2 linked regions of the Canis lupus familiaris genome follow. The protein of the gene in region 1 interacts with the protein of each later gene in a pairwise test. Links are inferred from orthologs where the notes say so. Each region holds a gene or a part of one and is shown on either strand. Other genes may lie near its edges.

Evidence for each region.
Region 2: the proteins of FEZ2 (region 1) and SCOC interact in binary tests that used the Homo sapiens proteins (3 or more experiments, as listed by UniProt). The link is inferred for Canis lupus familiaris from reciprocal best matches to the Homo sapiens genes FEZ2 and SCOC.

The regions. Positions count from the first base shown.
Region 1 is NC_049238.1:29,239,546-29,248,325, reverse strand, and holds the start of FEZ2 (fasciculation and elongation protein zeta-2), read left to right. Parts: upstream 1-3,642; 5' UTR 3,643-3,681; coding exon 3,682-3,935; intron 3,936-8,273; coding exon 8,274-8,382; intron 8,383-8,780. UniProt on the Homo sapiens protein: Involved in axonal outgrowth and fasciculation.
Region 2 is NC_049240.1:3,207,664-3,216,186, reverse strand, and holds the start of SCOC (short coiled-coil protein), read left to right. Parts: upstream 1-3,310; 5' UTR 3,311-3,328; coding exon 3,329-3,398; intron 3,399-8,523. UniProt on the Homo sapiens protein: Positive regulator of amino acid starvation-induced autophagy.

The sequences.
Region 1 (8,780 bases):
TGAAATAATATGGTATTTGTCTTTCTCTGACAGATTTATTTCACTTAGCACTGTACTCTCTAACTCCATCCATGTTGTTGCAAATGATAATATTTCATTCTTTTTTATCATGGAATAATATTCTATTGTGTATATATACCACATCTTTATCTGTTCATCTATCAATGGACATTTGGGCTGCTTCCATATTTGCTTATTGTAAATAATACTGCAATAAACATAGGGGTGCATATATCCTTTGGACTTAGTGTTTTTGTATTTTGGGGGTAAATATCCAGTAATGTGATTACTGGATTATAGCATAGTTCTATTTTTATTTTTTTAAGGAACTTCCATATTATTTTCCACAGTGGGTGTTCCCATTTACAGTCCCACCAACAGTGCGAGAGGATTCTTTTTGGTCCACATCCTTGCCAACACTTGTTGTTTCGTGTGTTTTTGATTTTACCCATTCTGACAAGTGTGAGGTGATATTAGATTCTTAACTTTTTGATGAGGCTATTTTGATGGAGCAATATTGGTGCAGCTTTTTGATGACAAGACATTTTGATCACTTAAAAAAAAAGAAAATGTTATACTTACAGCTTTAAAATTATAATACTCCGTGTAGAACAGGCATCTTCACTCCTAGTCTCACCTATCACAACCCCACTCACAACAAATTTTTCCTTCTACAAAGATAGCAAAAGAAATTTTTAAAGATTTTATTTATTTGAGATTTTTTTAAAGACTGTATTTATTTATATGAGAGAGAGAGAGAGAGAGAGAGAAGGAGCAGGGGGAGGGGCAAAAGGAGAGGGAGAAGCAGACTTTCCGAGGAGCAGGGAACCCAAATGAGGTTTCATCAGAGACTCCAAGATCATGAACCAAATTGAGGGCAGATGCTTAATCGAGCCACCTGGGTGCCCCTTATTTATTTATTTGAGAGAGAGAGCACACACACGTGTGAGTGCACATGCAGGAGGAGGGACTTTTTTCTTTTAATTGTATTTATTTACAGCCAAAGAATTTTAACATTTCTAGAAACAAAACCTTGGAGGGAGAAGAATAAAAAGGACCTGAGAAAATACAACTCCAAGGAAGTAGGGTATTTCAGTTTTAATGCTTATTCTTGTAATACCCTCATCTTTGTAAATTTTGGGGGACTCTGGTTGATTTTGTGGAATACTGCTGGATGCTATGTTTCCCTTGTCCTAACACCATTGAGACTATGGAAAATCTGGGGCCAGTAACTTTAAAAGAAATTCATATTAATAAGCATACTGGAAAATAGAGTGTAATGTATATGAGCAACATTAAATGTGTAACAGGTGATCCAGGGATCAGACATAAAGTAAAATCATTTACAGAATCAGTTTATATCATTCAAATGTGACCGAACCCTCCCAGTTTCTCTGGTAAACTACGCTGAATTGTCTGTGTCTATTCCTTTCTATAGACTGGTGGAGCCTCATGATGCTACCTCATCTCCTGAATGCACACTGTCAGTCTTCCATAGTGTCATCTTCTGACAGTGTGTCATTGTGCTCAATAGAGCTTTCTTACTTTTATTTTTTCATTCATTTTCCTCCCAATTCCATAGGATGTGGACTTTGTGTTCTTGAAGTTTGGCACCTTTTTTTTTTTCTTTCCTTCATATTGTTTCCTGTATGGGCCAGAGAGATTTCCCATCTCCCCTGAATTTCTTCTCAGAATGAGTCCCTCAGACTCAAGTCTTCAATAACAGTCTATCTTATTAATTTTGGATTACTTTCTACTGAAGTTAATTTACATAATTCTAGTACAAAATCCAGTTTCAATGAAACAGAAAAGTGGAAGAGGTGATCAACAAGTTAGCAATTTATCAATAATTACCATGGACAATGCATGCACTGATTTTAAATGTCTGTTTTGGATCCACTTTTAAGGAGAGCAGATGTTAAATAAGCAAGGCACATATGTATAGGACAGTTCTAACAAGTGATTTAATAAAGCCACACCTTTTTTTAAAAAAAGATTTTATTAATTTATTCATGAGAATACAAGAGAGGAGAGAGAGAGAGAGGCAGAGACACAGGCAGAGGGAGAAGCAGGCTCCATGCAGGGAGTCTGACATGGGACTCGATCCTAGGTCTCCAGGATCATGCCCTGGGCTGAAGGCGGCGCTAAACCGCTGAGCCACCAGGGCTGCCCTAAAGCCACACCTTTTAGAAAAAAATTGTGGTTAAATATACATAGCACAAAAATTAGCATTTTAATACATAAGTGTACTGTGGCATTAAGTACATTCATGTGCAACTATCACCATCATCTATCTCCAGAATTTTTTACCATCCCTAAAGGAAACTCTGTATCCATGAAACACTAACTCCTCCTCCCTTGCAACTCCATTCTATTTTCTATGATTTTGACTACTTAGGTACCTCATACAAGTGGAATCATACCACATATGTCCTTTTGTCTCTGGCTTCACTTAGCATAACATCTACAAGATTCATACTGTTTGTTGGTTTGCAACCCTCTTGGGAGCTTCCCAGATGCAATCTGAAATCAGCCTCCTTAGGTGGAGGGCAAAGACTAAGAAAGAAGAGGTCACTCCAAGTTGATATGTAGCAGTTTTAATAAGCAGAGGGAACTTACATACATAAGAGGCTTGCCTTTAGTGACAAGACAAATAGATCTCCACACCCACCTGCCAAATCTTAAAAGCTTATTAGGAGGCCTTAACTGGGTTCATTTATAGTATACCCTGCCAGTGTTCTCAACATACTGTCTGAAGGCTATGTCCTTGGAGCAGCCTCTGGGAACAGGAAAGGCAAGTGGAACCCCATTCCAAGGACAGGGAGGGAGGGGGGGGTGAAGAGACTTCCAGTGCCTGGGTCTAGCCCTTGGGTCAACTGGCAGGTACGTCTTTTCAGTTACCTTCTCCAATACCGTTTCAAGTACTTTGCAAATATTAATTGGGATCCCTGGGTGGCGCAGCGGTTTGGCGCCTGCCTTTGGCCCAGGGCGCGATCCTGGAGACCCGGGATCGAATCCCACGTCGGGCTCCCGGTGCATGGAGCCTGCTTCTCCCTCTGCCTATGTCTCTGCCTCTCTCTCTCTCTCTCTCTCTCACTGTGTGCTTATCATAAATAAATAAAAATTAAAAAAAAAAGAATAAACTTTGTTTAAAAAAAAAAATTAATTCATATAATTATTCATCTTTGTAGATTCCCCAGGGTCTAGAAAGTGCTTTGAACGTGTCAGATGTAAAATATCCTGGTAAGACTTAAGCATTTCCAAGTGGCTCTGTTTGTTCTTCTGGTTGGAAAGTCACAAAAGGAGCCGGTCCTACTCGGGGCACCATGTGATGATGCTAGGGTGCAAGTTTAAAGAAGCCCTTTATTTTAGTCACATGTCGGCCAGTTTCCCACTAAGCGAAGCTATTCCTGGACGATAGAGACTATAGGAAGTGACCCAACGTAATTAAGGCTTTCCATTCCACAGAGACCCGCAATCACCTGGGAGAAGACTCAGGAAAGGGAAAGATACCCAGGCCGGGCGGCCCGGACAGGCCCACGTGGGAGCTGGACGGAGGAGGCGGGGCCTGCGGGGGCGGGGCCTGCGGGGGGCGGGGCCTGCGGGGGGGCGGGGCCTTCGGCGGGGCGGGGCGGGGCCTTCGGCGGAGCGGGGCGGGGCGCGCCACTGCGCCGGGCGGCGATGGCGGCGGACGGGGACTGGCAGGATTTCTATGAGTTCCAGGAGCCAGCCCGGAGCCTCCAGGACCAGGAGAACTGTAACGCGAGCCCCGAGGCCGGCGCAGGGCCGGGCGGGGGAGGCGACGGCTTCCCGGCGCTGGCCTGCAGCTTGGAGGAGAAGCTGAGCCTGTGTTTCCGCCCCTCGGGTCCGGGCGCCGAGCCCCCGAGGGCGGCAGTGCGGCCCATCACCGAGTGCAGCCTCCTGCAGGGGGACGAGTGAGTGCGGGCCCGGCGGGAGCGGGCGGGAGCCTCCCCTGCCCTCGCGCTGCCCTCGCCCTGCCCTCGCCCTGCCCTCTGGCCCTGGCTCGGCGGCCTCGGCGGGCTCCGGCCACAGGCCCCGCCCCCCGCCCTCCTTCCGCCTCCCGGGCCCGCGAGGCCCCGCCCTCCTTCCTGCCCCGCGGCGCTCCCTGGGGCTTGCGGCCCCGCGCGCCCTGCGATTTAAATCCCCCGCTCCCCTGCGCTCCCTCCCCCTGGTCCCCTGCCCTCCTCCTGCTCCCTGGAAACCCAGGGTCCCCAGGCGGGGTTCCGAGGGGAGCCTCCGTCCACGGAGCCGGGAGTTAGACGTTGCACCTCCTCGGGCACGTGTGTAGCCGCTCATTCATTCAACTAGAGTTTATTTTTATTTAAGCGCTTAGTGCCAGGGGCTGCTTCGGCAGGGAAGACCCAGGTGACGGCACGGACCCCTCTCTCGTAGGGCACAACGTAGGAAGGGGCCTGGATTTGTCAACAGATAATTTGGTGTGGCTGTGACAAATGCTGTCCTGGACATAACGTGCGAAACCCAGGAGATTGATTGATTGATTGATTGATTTATTTATTTATTTATTTAATTATTTTTTGATCTAGGAGATTTAAAAGGGGATGTGTGGGAGAGGCAGGAAAGACTTCATAGGGAAAGAAATGTGAAAACTGGATCCCGATGGATGAGTGGGAGTTTGGCAGATGAAGAAAAGTCTAGCTAGCATGACAGCTCGCCGGTGTGGCACGTGCAAAGGTACCAACGCTGAAGCAGCTCTTATGCCATAGGAATTTATTGGCTCCATCTGAGAGCCCAGGTGGCGTGCAGATCCCCACAGAGGCAAACACACACACACACACACACACACACAAAACAAAAACAACAACAACAACAACAACAAAAAACAAACGAAAGAAAGGCTGTGGTTATTAATAGCAAGGATCTCCTAGTCTGGTGGGACAAGGAATGCATTAACAGGTAGTTATTATACAATCATATAAGTGCAGTGATAGGATATTGATAGGGATTGGTGAGAGCTGCCTAAGGGGGAGGGAGGCAGAGTGCCTGGGAGGGGGCACTTTGTTTGACTGTCTGGAACCCCAGTTATAATTTGTCTAAAAATGGGTTGTGATTATGTACCACGGTTTCACCCCCAAAAGATTGTAAAAGGAATGGTGAGAGCAAAGGAGCTGAGCATATTGTATAGGTCTGGGGAAGCTGAGGGTGCAAGGAATGGAAAGGTCTGGGGAAGCTGAGGGTGCAAGGAATGGAATAAACACTGTGGAATAGGTAGGGATGGGTTTTTAGAGCCTTGATGGAATGGAGAGATTAGAGGTTAGGGAAGGATTCTTGAGAGAGAGAGAGAAGGATCCACAGGCATAGAAAGGGCCTTTCCGCCTGATGGCCTCCTTTCCTCTGTGAATATGGTAGGAAGCTTGAGAAGAGGGATTGGGGGGATGAGGGCCTGTGAACATGACTTAGTGGGTGTTCCACCCCAGCTAGGTTGGGGACCATATCATTTCATTGGCACCCGTGTACAGTGTTCCACCCAGTGTGAAGGGAAGAGTTTATGACTGGATTTTATACACGCACGAATGCAGCCAGTAGCAGAAGATGACATTTTGGAAAGTCTGTTCCTAGAGAAGATAGTTTTATATATATATGTAGATTTAGAGGCTCTGAGTCACTAGGACTCAGGACATCTTCTGAATTAAAAAATGATAGTTATGATGCATTTGGGTTTGTCAGACGTAACTCCTCAGAATAGATTTGTGGTTTGTACACAAATGCTAAGGTTCCCTATTTTTGCTTTGCCTGTACTGTCTAGAACGTAGTTTATTTTAGTCTCTGCTTAAATTTTAGGGTGATGTAAAGCTTGAAAAAATTTTTTTGTTACTCTTGATAATGGTTTTTAGTAGATGATATGTTGGTAGGAATTCATGGTTCTTGATTTCGGAATGTGTAACCTGTCTATTTCTCTCTCCAGGGGCCGGGTTGGTCACTGCTCACTGCCCCCTTTCTGTTGCATAAATCTCTCCATTGCTTGATAAGAGCAATGGGACTTTCCTTAGTACGACTCATTTGAAATACTGCTTAGAGTAATAGAGTTGGAAGCAATGTCTGTTACTCAAGCCTCTCATTTTATAGAAGGGTGGCTCTTAACTAGCATGGTTAAGGAACATGGCCAAAGACTCATGGCCCTGCTCCTCTCACTAGAGAGAGTTGAGAATTCTTTCACTCAGACATTGCATTGGTTTAGGGCACTTTATTTAATTTCTCTGAGCCCCACTTTTAGTTTTGGCTAACTCTGCATTGCGCTTATCTGCTACTGGTTTTACTTTAGAAGGGTATCATGTAGGATTCCATGTCACAGAACTTTGATCTCCCTGGAAAAGGGCTGTCCTGCTGGTTGTTTATGACTGATTGTAATACTTTATGATAAGGATAAAGGCAATTCATGTCTGTTCTGGAGAAATCTGGAAATCATTCACTTCAGTCAGCCCTGTGTCCTTCCTGCTATAATTGTTCTGACCTTGGTGGAGATAGAGGACTGTTAATTGTCCTTCACTTTCTTGGAAGGTGAAAATCACCCAGTCTCTTCTACTGGGTGAAATATTCCACTCCACTTGTCTTCTTCCAGCCTCAATTAAGGAGAAGCAAACAAGCAGTCCCCGAATCCTGGACTGTCTTCACCTGCTAGCATATCCTACTTGATTTCCTAAGCAGGGTTAGGTATATAGTCAGTTATTCAGTATTTGAGTATCTTTTATCCAGAAAGGTAGGGGTCAGAAAACCCATGAAGTTTAGCAGTCCAGAGTTGTTGCCTTCTATAGGAGTTTTTGGCATCGGAGAAGGTTGTGATTCTAACAGAGAGGAGAGTAGAAATGAACTATGCATATGGGAGATGTGCTGGGTAAACGAGCCAGTTTCCTAGAGCTTTTTGGGTTCACATTTTCATTGAGGCTAATATGCATTCCAAAGCCAAACATCATTTTTGGGATTTTATGTTTTTGGCACTTATGGTCCCATTACTTCGCTTTAGTACCAAATCCCAAATTCATTAAATCAAGTATATTGCTTCTTTATTTTTAAGCTTGCATTCTTATTTTTATGCCTCCAGTGGTCTAGTTCTTAGTGGCTTAGACACTTGGGAAAAAAACAAAACAAACAACAACCCAGTTATTTAATGCTTTTTTCCTCCTTATGACATCTATGTATTTCTGCCCATTAAATAACTTAATGTATGTAGTGTTTAACTTACCCAATTAAATTTAATCTCATTTATATCTCTGAAGTCATTTTTTAATACAGTGTCATGTTTTATTATGCTGTGATTACTTTGGTACTGAAATCTGAATTTTGGTCATGAAGTTGGAGTTAGCTGTCCTTATCCGGTGTGGCTTGGGACTTTCCTTAGTACAACTCATTTGAAATACTGCTTAGAGTAATAGAGTTGGAAGCAATGTCTGTTACTCAAGCCTCTCATTTTATAGAAGGGTAGCTCTTAACTAGCATGGTTAAGGAACATGGCCAAAGACTTATGGTTTGAAGAAGAATGGAAACGAGAGTCTATGTTTCCTGAATTTTAATCAAGCACCCTTTCGTTTTACTCTGTTGCTTCCCCAAAATGCTGTTTGACAATAAGGAAGTACCCTTCCATTGCATTGGCTACCTTTGTGCATTTTATTGTGAATGCCCCTTTCTTTCCTCTATTTTATCTGTCCTAGCCTATTATATTACAAAATAGATATTAAACTCCAGTCTCACATTGAGACTGAATCCTTTCTCCAGAAAGGACAACACATTTTTGGTTAGAGAAAGATTACTCACCCTATGAAATGATCAATATGTTTGGAAGTTACAGAAGAAAAATAAGTGTAAAACACAGCATATGTACTACCCATTTGGCTCTGGAAACATTACGTGAACTCCCTGTATTTTAATTTCCTCATCTTTAAAATGGGGTAATAACGGTTCTTCATAATACTGTTTTTGAGGATTAAATGAGTTAATATATATAAATTGCTTAGGACGGTGCCTGGCACCTAGTGTAGTGGAAATGTGAGCTGTCGATTTTGAGAGAGTTTTTAATACCACTGTGTCTTCCCTCAGCTCTTCTTGTCAGCCCAATTATCTGGTTTTCCTTTAGTCGTCTTTAGGAGGCTCTTCTTTGTTGGTGTTTTTCTGGAAAACAGTAGGCCTTCCATTGTTTTGCTTTGAAATGTCTTGTTCTTTCTTTCACTATAGTTGTATTTGTTTAATAAAAGACATGTGGGATGTTAACTATCATTGATTGTAGTTTTATTCTTTTTAAGGATTTGGAACGCCCTGACAGATAATTATGGAAACGTAATGCCTGTAGACTGGAAGTCATCTCACACCAGAACCTTGCATTTGCTTACACTGAACCTCTCAGAAAAAGGGGTAAGTTAGGAACTGAGCTAATAATTTCTGAATAACTGATTCTGATAATAGAACTAAAAAATAGCCTCTCTGTTGAACACAAATCATTGTGTTGCCTCTTATTTCCAAGTTCATAGCATTTGGAGTGGCCCTCTGTTGCCATCTTAGCTCCATTGCTGTCAGCTTGCTAGCACTTTCCTCCAGTTCTTCCCAAACACACACTCACTTTTGTATGTTTAGCCAGTCTTCATCACCTGTGTATGAACACCAAAGATCAGCATTTTTTTCTGAACTTAACTAGCACAATTTTGGTGTGCTGAGGAGACTCGGAGGGTACTGGAATAGCAACATAGAGTTAACTTTCTGATGAATTTAAGGACTTGCTGGACATGACATGTTTTCTGAAGACTGTGTGTTCC
Region 2 (8,523 bases), on another chromosome or scaffold:
TCACTGTGGTTTTTTTAAAAAAAGATTTTTTAAAATTTATTTATTCATAGAGACACAGAGAGAGAGAGAGGCAGAGACACAGGCAGAGGGAGAAGCAGGCTCCATGCAGGGAGCCCGATGTGGGACTCGATCCCGGGTCTCCAGGATCATGCCCTAGGCTGCAGGCGGCGCCAAACCGCTGTGCCACCGGGGCTGCCCTCTCACTGTGGTTTTGATTTGCATTTTCTTAATGACCAATAAAATTTAACATATTTTCATGTGTTTATTTGCTATTTACATATCTTCTTTGGAGAAATATCTGTTCATGTTCTTCACTCATTTTAAAAATTAGGTTTTCTTTTTGTTGTTGAATCATAAGAGTTCTTTATATATTCTAGAAATTGAAGTCTTATCAAATATGCAATTTGTAAGTATTTTATCCCATTCTGTAGATAGCCTTCCCACATTCTGATAATGTCCTTTGATGTACATACTATTTACATTTTTATGAAGTCCAAGTTATTTTTAATTCGTTGCTCATGTTTTTGCTGTCAAATCCAGGAATACATTGCCAGATCCATGTCAATCTTCAAATTCATCTGAAATTTCAAGGGACCCCAAATAGTCAAAACATTATTTAAAAACAAAGTTGGAGTACTCATACTTCCTGATTTCAAAGCTTACCACAAAGCCACAGTAATCAAAGCAGTGCAGTACTGACATAAGGATAGACATATAAACCAATGGAACAGAACTGAGATTCCAACACTAACCCCAAACATCTATGACCGATTGATTTTTTTTTTTAACCAATTGATTTTTGACAAAGATCCCAAAACCATCCAATGAGGGAAAAAATGTTCTCTTCAACAAATGGTGTTGGGATAACTAAATATCCAAATACAAAGAAGTGAAGCTGCATCCCTACCTTACTCCACATAGAAAAATGATACTGAAAATGGTTCAATGACTTAAATATGAGAGCCAAAACAATAAAACTATTAGGAGAAAACATAGGGGGAAATATTCACTATTGATAATTTCAGGCCATAGATAATTCTTTTTTTAAAAAAGATTTTATTTATTCATGAGAGACACAAAGAGAGAGAGAGGCAGAGACACAGAGGGAGAAGCAGGCTCCATGCCGGGAGCCTGAAGTGAGACTTGATCCTGAGACTCCAGGATCGTGCCCTGAGCCACTCAGGTGCGCCCAACCCATAGGTAATTCTGCACTCCAGTTAAAAGTGAACATTCCATCATAACTATTGCCCAAAGACTATGGAGATAGTAGCAATGCTGATGGACTTGAGTTTTATCTCTTTTCATTCCCCTGTCCATTAGGATAGATATTTCATAACAAATGACCTTTTTTAAAAAAAAAAAAAAAGATAATCCGAAAGAAGGCAAAGAACATAGGCTAATTCTAGCAAAATGCACAATTGGCCATGAATAATAAAAATAAAACCCAATAAAATAAAATAAAATAAAACCCAAATATGCAATTTAATCAAATGTGCCCTTTGATTTCTAAATTCTTTTACCAGGTTAATTAATTCTTCTCTTCCATCCTCTGCCTAATAATTTTATTAGGAGTAGTTAATATAGAGGTTAAGAGCAAGTGCTTGCAGGAATGTCCTAGGAGACACAGGACTGCCCTTATGATCAGCTTTGACTATAGTATTCTTTGACAACCTTGTTGACACTTCCTTAACGTGAAAGATAAGCTAGGCCTTCCCTCCTGGTTTCTCCTCACTGGGTTAGTCTTGCATCATTGTCTGATGGCTCTCCCAGCCTTTCCTTTGCTCTTTCTCTATTTTTTCTCACCCTTTTAATCCCATGTAAGTGTCCAATTCTTAGAGGACTGGACACAGTCTGGCATTCAACGCTCTCTTAGATATGGCCTTACCCCATATTCATCCTTATCTCCTATGCCTTAGCTATGTACATCCTCCACTCTTGGTTCCCATATGTGCTTACTTTTTTCCCATCTCTGAGTCTTTGTCCATGTTCCTTCACTGAGAAAGTGCTTACCAGTGGCCATTTTTGCCTATTGGATTCCACTTGTCATTGATCATGCATCTCAAATGTCACTGCCTCTAGCCTTTCAAGATCTGCTAGCCAGACATACTCTTTCCCTTTTATAAACCTCCAGAACTCTTGCCTTTGAGCTCTTTTATAAGCCTATTAACAGCAATAACCATCCGTTACTTTGAACCCTCCAAAGTCCCTAGCTTGTATAGAACAGGCACTCAATATTTATAGACTGTCATTAGAAAATTAGAGGGAATTCTATTCTAGCGAATTTAATTTTTAACATTCAGGATTTCCAACAGCTCACATCCATTTTGCTTGATATAGTAACAATGAACTCAGGTGAATAAAAAAAAAATCCTATGTATCAAAGCACTTAAGGTAGAACTTATTATGTAGTAAGTCAATTTTGATATCTGCTTAAAATTCTTCATCAAACTTGCTGATTTATTCCCCTCCCCCCACCCGAAAGAGCGATGACATGACATTCTAAGATAGTTTTGGGTTTGTCTACATATCTGACTATGGATGAGATGACCAAGAAAAATAGTTATAAAAGAATGCTTCCTCCTCTAACAAAGGGCTATCGGCCTAAGGGCTGGCAAGGCTACCATCCTCTCCCTTGGATTCCTCCAGGATAGAGAAAGGAGATCTATCATTTTAATAAGCCTTCATAGGGTCAGGTACAAACACAGTAATATGAGAGGGCACTGATGAGCTCACTACATAGAGAATTTTACTTCCTCGCATACGTCTGATGATTTGTGATCATTACTGTGGTTGACGTTTATCAAGTGAATGTTACTCACTCTTAATTCTTATAAAAGATTTGTCATCATATAGGACAGGAAACTGAGGCTCTGTGACCGAGTCCTGCTGCTAGGTCACCGACCAAAATCCTTGACAAATTTATGGTTGGTGTCCCAAAAATATGCTAACCACATAAAATTTAATCTCTTCCCCCAGCCTCATTCTAGCGCCTTTTGGGCAATGTTCCTGGGCAATTCAGCTCAAGCAAACTGTCACTGGACTGAAGGTAAGGTTTGGCTTTTGGCCAGGGTACAGCAGTAACGCTAGCTCAACAGCTCCAGGTAAAGGATTATAACTCTTTAACTTGGGTCTCTATTTCCGGGTTAGGACTGCACTGTTCAGGTAAGAACCTCTCAGGTGGAAAGCAGGAAGAAAGGGGCCAGTGCAAGGATCAGATAAAAAAATGAGCGTGGACGCTCACTTATTAATGATTTAACACGGGCGATCACATGGAGAACAGTCGTTTCCCCTGTCCTCATTTTTCTAACAGGCCAGAAAAGTGAACAAGATGGACGGGTCCAGCAAAGAGGAAGAGGAGGACAACACATTCACCAGCATTCCTCTTACAGATGACATAGGTAAGGAAGAGCTTGATGAATTCTGAAACATAAAATCCAGCTACTGCTCAGTTTTTAAAAAACATATAACTTATTATTTTTATTATAATGCTAAAACACGCTCATTATCGAAAACTTAAAAAAATATAGCTACCAAAATAAAACAAAAAATTTTTCTTTAAGAGCTATTTTTCTTTTCCTTTTAAGTTAAGTGATTATTTGGAAAGTTTCTGTGGTTGTATTACATCTTCTTTTGAAATAAATCAGCAAGCAAAAATATAAAATGTTTATTTCCTAAAAGCCCAGGAAATATAACCTTAAAGTTGTTAACCAAAACAACCTATGTTATCACCATTTTTTGTTGAATTACAGTCAATTTCTTCTCTATTTTGTAAAATAATTTGATCATCTCCGAAAAATAAACTAGGATTTACTGTGATTGACTTTAAGAATTATTTCCAAAAAATGCCTTGATTTTAAGCAAGGGCAAAGTTTGGTGAATTCAACACGAGAGAAGCAAAAAAGGGGAGGATAGTGGTTCTAAAATGCTGATGGAAGGGATAACTATGGCTCATTCAACATCCCAGAGAAATCAGACAATGCTGAGTTGCACAATGTTAACTGGAAACACTTCAAACCCATAAGCACCCACATCTTGGGGTGTGTGTATGTGTGTGTGTGTGTGTGTGTGTTGTTGGCATTGTTTTGTATCCAAGTTTCTTTAGCACAATCATAGTAAGAAGCCAGCAAGACAGAAGCTAAGCAATGGGGGTTACTGATTTTGATTAACAGAGAGCAGAGCATGAATATTTAACATCAATTGCTCTTTCATACAGCCACGCTTCTCCACTTTCTCCCTAAATGCTCAGATTCAAAAAGCCTCTTTCTAAAGTGCAGCCAGACAATTAGCACAAACCGCCAGCCAGCCAGCCAGAGCTAAGCTTCCCCTCCTGGCACCGCATAAACATGCTGGGGGCTTTGGAAATCAAAGAGGAGCATTTTCAGCCTTTATGAGGAGAGGCAAGGTACAAGGTACGCGGGCTGTTGAAGAAACGGGACACCGCTGGCCTTAACATGCTCCCGCCGGGGTGTTGGAGCAAATGACAGGCTGCAGAAGGCAGGGAAGGAAACAAAGACCAAGGGAAACCTGTCTCTTAGCTTCTAGAAGGCACGATGAGTGAGAAGGCTATGCGTGGGGAGCCGTATATGCTGTGGGTGGGTGCAGTTCATACAGAGTGCTTGCCTGCTCTAAAATCACTGCAATCCACGATTCTTTCTAGATGGTAGCGTGGGCTGGGCCTGAAAGCAGGGACGGGGCTGTGGCAGGGAAATGAGACTTTGTGAAACGGTTCTTTCATCCAGCCCTCGGGCCTTCCAGGTCTCAGCTTCGGCCACCCCCATGCTGGCAGCGCAGACAAAGGCAGATGAGGGCAAGGGGGGCGGGGGTTGAAGTGTCCCTCCTCTGCTGGCAAAGGTTTGGAGAGGGACCCTGGGGAGTTGCCTGCTGAGCCTGAGCGCCCTGGGGCAGGGTAAGCAGGACCACCAGGCTGGCCATGAATGGTGGCCGCAGGAGGGCAGGGCCAGTGTCTCCTTGCTCCCTCTTGCTGCCCCCCCCTCCTTGGTTAGAGGAGGCCGCATCGTGGAGGGCAAAGGGCCTTAAGGGGTGGGATGGTCCAGCATGGTACCCGGCGGTGGGCTGAGCCATGAGTGCTCATCTGTGCTGCTTCACGGTTTCAAGATGTCAAATACAAATTGTTCATATGCTTGTGACAAAAATGCACTGAAGCACCGCGTTGTTTTTGGCTTCTGGAGATAATTTTATCAATTTGATGCGGTAACCCTGTGGTTTGCTTTTGTTAATAAGGGGTTCCTTGGTCTTTGATAAATAAAAACAGGGAAACAAATTATTCTGAAATAAATGCACCTGGTTTAGCAGACATCATTCAAATCATGGAGTCTGTACAGGAGCAAAGCATTAGAAGGGTATTGCTTATATTAGGAAAAGTTTAATCCAATTTCTCAGTCTTCTTTCAATATATATTATGATATTTGTATTGCTACAGGCCACACACACACACACACACACACACACACACACACACACACACACACATAAAGAGGCCCAGAGAGGCTAGGTGACTTGCCCAAGGTGCACGCTGGCTAGCCTCATGTGCTATTTGAATGGAGCTGCTAGCTGCTAGATAACGGAGCTTCTCATGCAGGGTCTTTGAGTATATAGTCAGGTCTCAGGTGCCCTGGTGCTGAGTCCCACCTTGGCCGCTTTAGACAGTCACTGTCTCCTTTCACTCCCTCCCCACCCCTTTCCCCTGTTTCTTTTCTAATCAGAGGAAGGCAAGAGAAAGGAGAAGAATATATTTGCAAACTCTGGGGAAAGGCTGGTTTGGGGAGAGCACTGAAGGCACTGAACTTTGGATTTATTTAGGTAATCCTACTTCCCAAGTTAGTATAAAGCTCTGACAACTAGCGGGTAGCAGTTACTCAAATCAGAAACCAGTCAAGACTCCATAAATTCATTTGTAGGTTAGTCACATGGATTTCAGACCAAACGACTCCATAGAAACACAGTTATAAATGACAGGATTCTAGACCAGCTCCTATTGTCTAACCCCATAGTTCCCAGACTCTGTGCCAAGGTGTCTCAGGGCACCACAGCAAACCTATAGGGGGTTCTATGGGGCACACCAACCTCTAGCAGACATTGTGAGCATGGCCCGCTAGAGACTGTTCACAATTTCACATGAGCTAGAGCTACATTTTTTCCAATGACCTCTCTTTCCATGCCGGGTTTACTGTAGTTGCTGTGATAAAAAGCAAGTTCTGTATAAAAATCAATGTAGATCAGTTAATGAGAGTGTCAGTTTGAGAAGGTTGGTGAAGTTTTACAGTGCCCAACAGAGGCATACATCCCATAAGTGAGTCATTGTGGTTAAGAATGACATAAAAAAAATAGATTAAAAATTTCTTTTAGGTATAGTATTTTTTCAAACGGTTATTAAGTTTTAAGGACATAAATACTTAACATGTTTGGACCTAAATACTTAATACATGGAACTTGTTTGGTATTTCTCTTGGCCTTGGAGCACTGTGAAAAAAAAAAAAAACCACTTATACTCAAGGGTATTGTGAACCAAGGTAGCTTGGGGATGTCTGGTCTAAGCTGTACTGTCTGTAGCTGGGCGGGCCTCCCTTCCGGGTTGGAGGCATACAACACAGAACAGAGACACTTGATAGTCTCTCCCTCCCTTCCTTCCTTCCTTCCTCCCACCCTCCCTCCCTTGCTTCCTTCCTTCTCATGTTTCGGCTCCCCTGGATTTGATGCTATTACACTTCTCAGGTTCCCCTTCAACCTCTCTCATCCTTAATCAGGCTCCTTTGGGAATCTGTTTCCTCAAGTGTTTCCCCAAACTTCTGTCCTTGACCTAGTTTTCTTCTCTCTCTAGACACATTCCCTGGATGATCTCATCCATGCCTCCTAGTTCCATCCTCCCATCTAGGCCATATACCAGTGACAATACAATACAGGTTGCAAATTCAAACGCCTTTAGGGCCAGGCAATGATTCATGGTATATCATCATTTATTTCAATTTCTTTAAAAAGCTATTGAAATTTCAATTCTTTTTTCAGTTTATTGGCTTTCTCATTGTGCATCTTTTTTTTCTTTTAATGTGGTAAGAACACTAAATATGAAATACACCTTCTTAACAGATTTATAAGTGCACAATACAGTATTGTTAACTATGGGCACAACATTATACATCAGATCTCTAGACTTACTCATCTTACATAACTGACATTCTAAACCCGCTGATTAGCAGCTGCTCCTTCTCCCTTCTCCCCAGACACCCCTGCAACCACCATTCTATTCTTTGCTTCTATGAGTCTTAGATGCCTCATATAAATGGAATCATACAGTATTTCAGTCACAGAAGGACTGGCTTATTTCACTTAGTATAACGTCCACATGGTTCATTCATGCTCTGGCATATTGTGGGATTTCTTTCTTTTTAAAGGCTGAATAATATTCCACTGCATATATATACACATTTTCTGTTTATCCATTCATCTGCTGATGCACATTTAAGCTGTTTCCACATCTTGACTCTTGTGAATAATGCAGCAATGAATGTGAGAGTGCTCATATCTTTTCAAGGTCCTGATTTCAATTCTTTTGGATAAATATCCAGAAGTACAGTGGCTGGATCATATGGTATTTTTGTTTTTAACTTTTTAAAAGTAATCTCTATGCCCAGTGGGCATAGACCCTGAGATCAAGAGCTGCGTGCTTTACTGAGGCAGACAGTTGCACCTATTTTTAACTTTTTGAGGAAACTCCATACTGTTTTCCACAGCAGCTGTACAATTTTACTTTCCCACCAATAGAGTAAAAGGGTACCAATTTCTTCACATCCCCACCAACACTTGTCTTTTTTTTTCAATGATAGCTGTCCAATCATTACAGTTTTGATTTGCATTCCCCTGATGATTAGTCACATTGAGCATCTTTTTACACATCTGTTGGCCATCTCTACATCTTTTTTGATGAAATGTCTGTTCAAGTCCTTTGCCCATTTTTCATTGGGTTATTATTGGGTTTGGTTATTGAGTGTGGGAATTCCTTATATATTTTGGAAGTTCACTCTTTATCAGATCTATAATTGGCCAATATCTTCTCCCATTCTGTAGGCTGCCTTTTTATTCTATTGTTTACTGTGCAGGAGGTTTTTAGTTTGATGTAGTCTTATTTGTCTATTTTTTGCTTTTGCTGTCTGTGCTTTTGGTGCCATATCCATAAAATTACTGCCACAATCTATATCATGAAGCTTCTTCCCTATACCTTCTTCTATAAGTTTTACAGCTTCTGGTCTTACATTTAAGTCTTCAATCCATTTTGAGTTGATACACCATAGCAAATGGTGTAATGTAAGGGTTAAATTTTATTCTTTTACATGTTGAAGTTTAGTTTTCCCAACATCATTTATTGAAAAGACTATCTTTTTTCTCCGTTGTATATTCCTGGCACCCCTGTTAAAGATCAGAGGGCAATATATGCATGGCTTTATTTCTGGGCTCTCTATTCTGTTCCATTGGTTTATATGTCTGTCTTTGTGCAAGTACCATACTGTT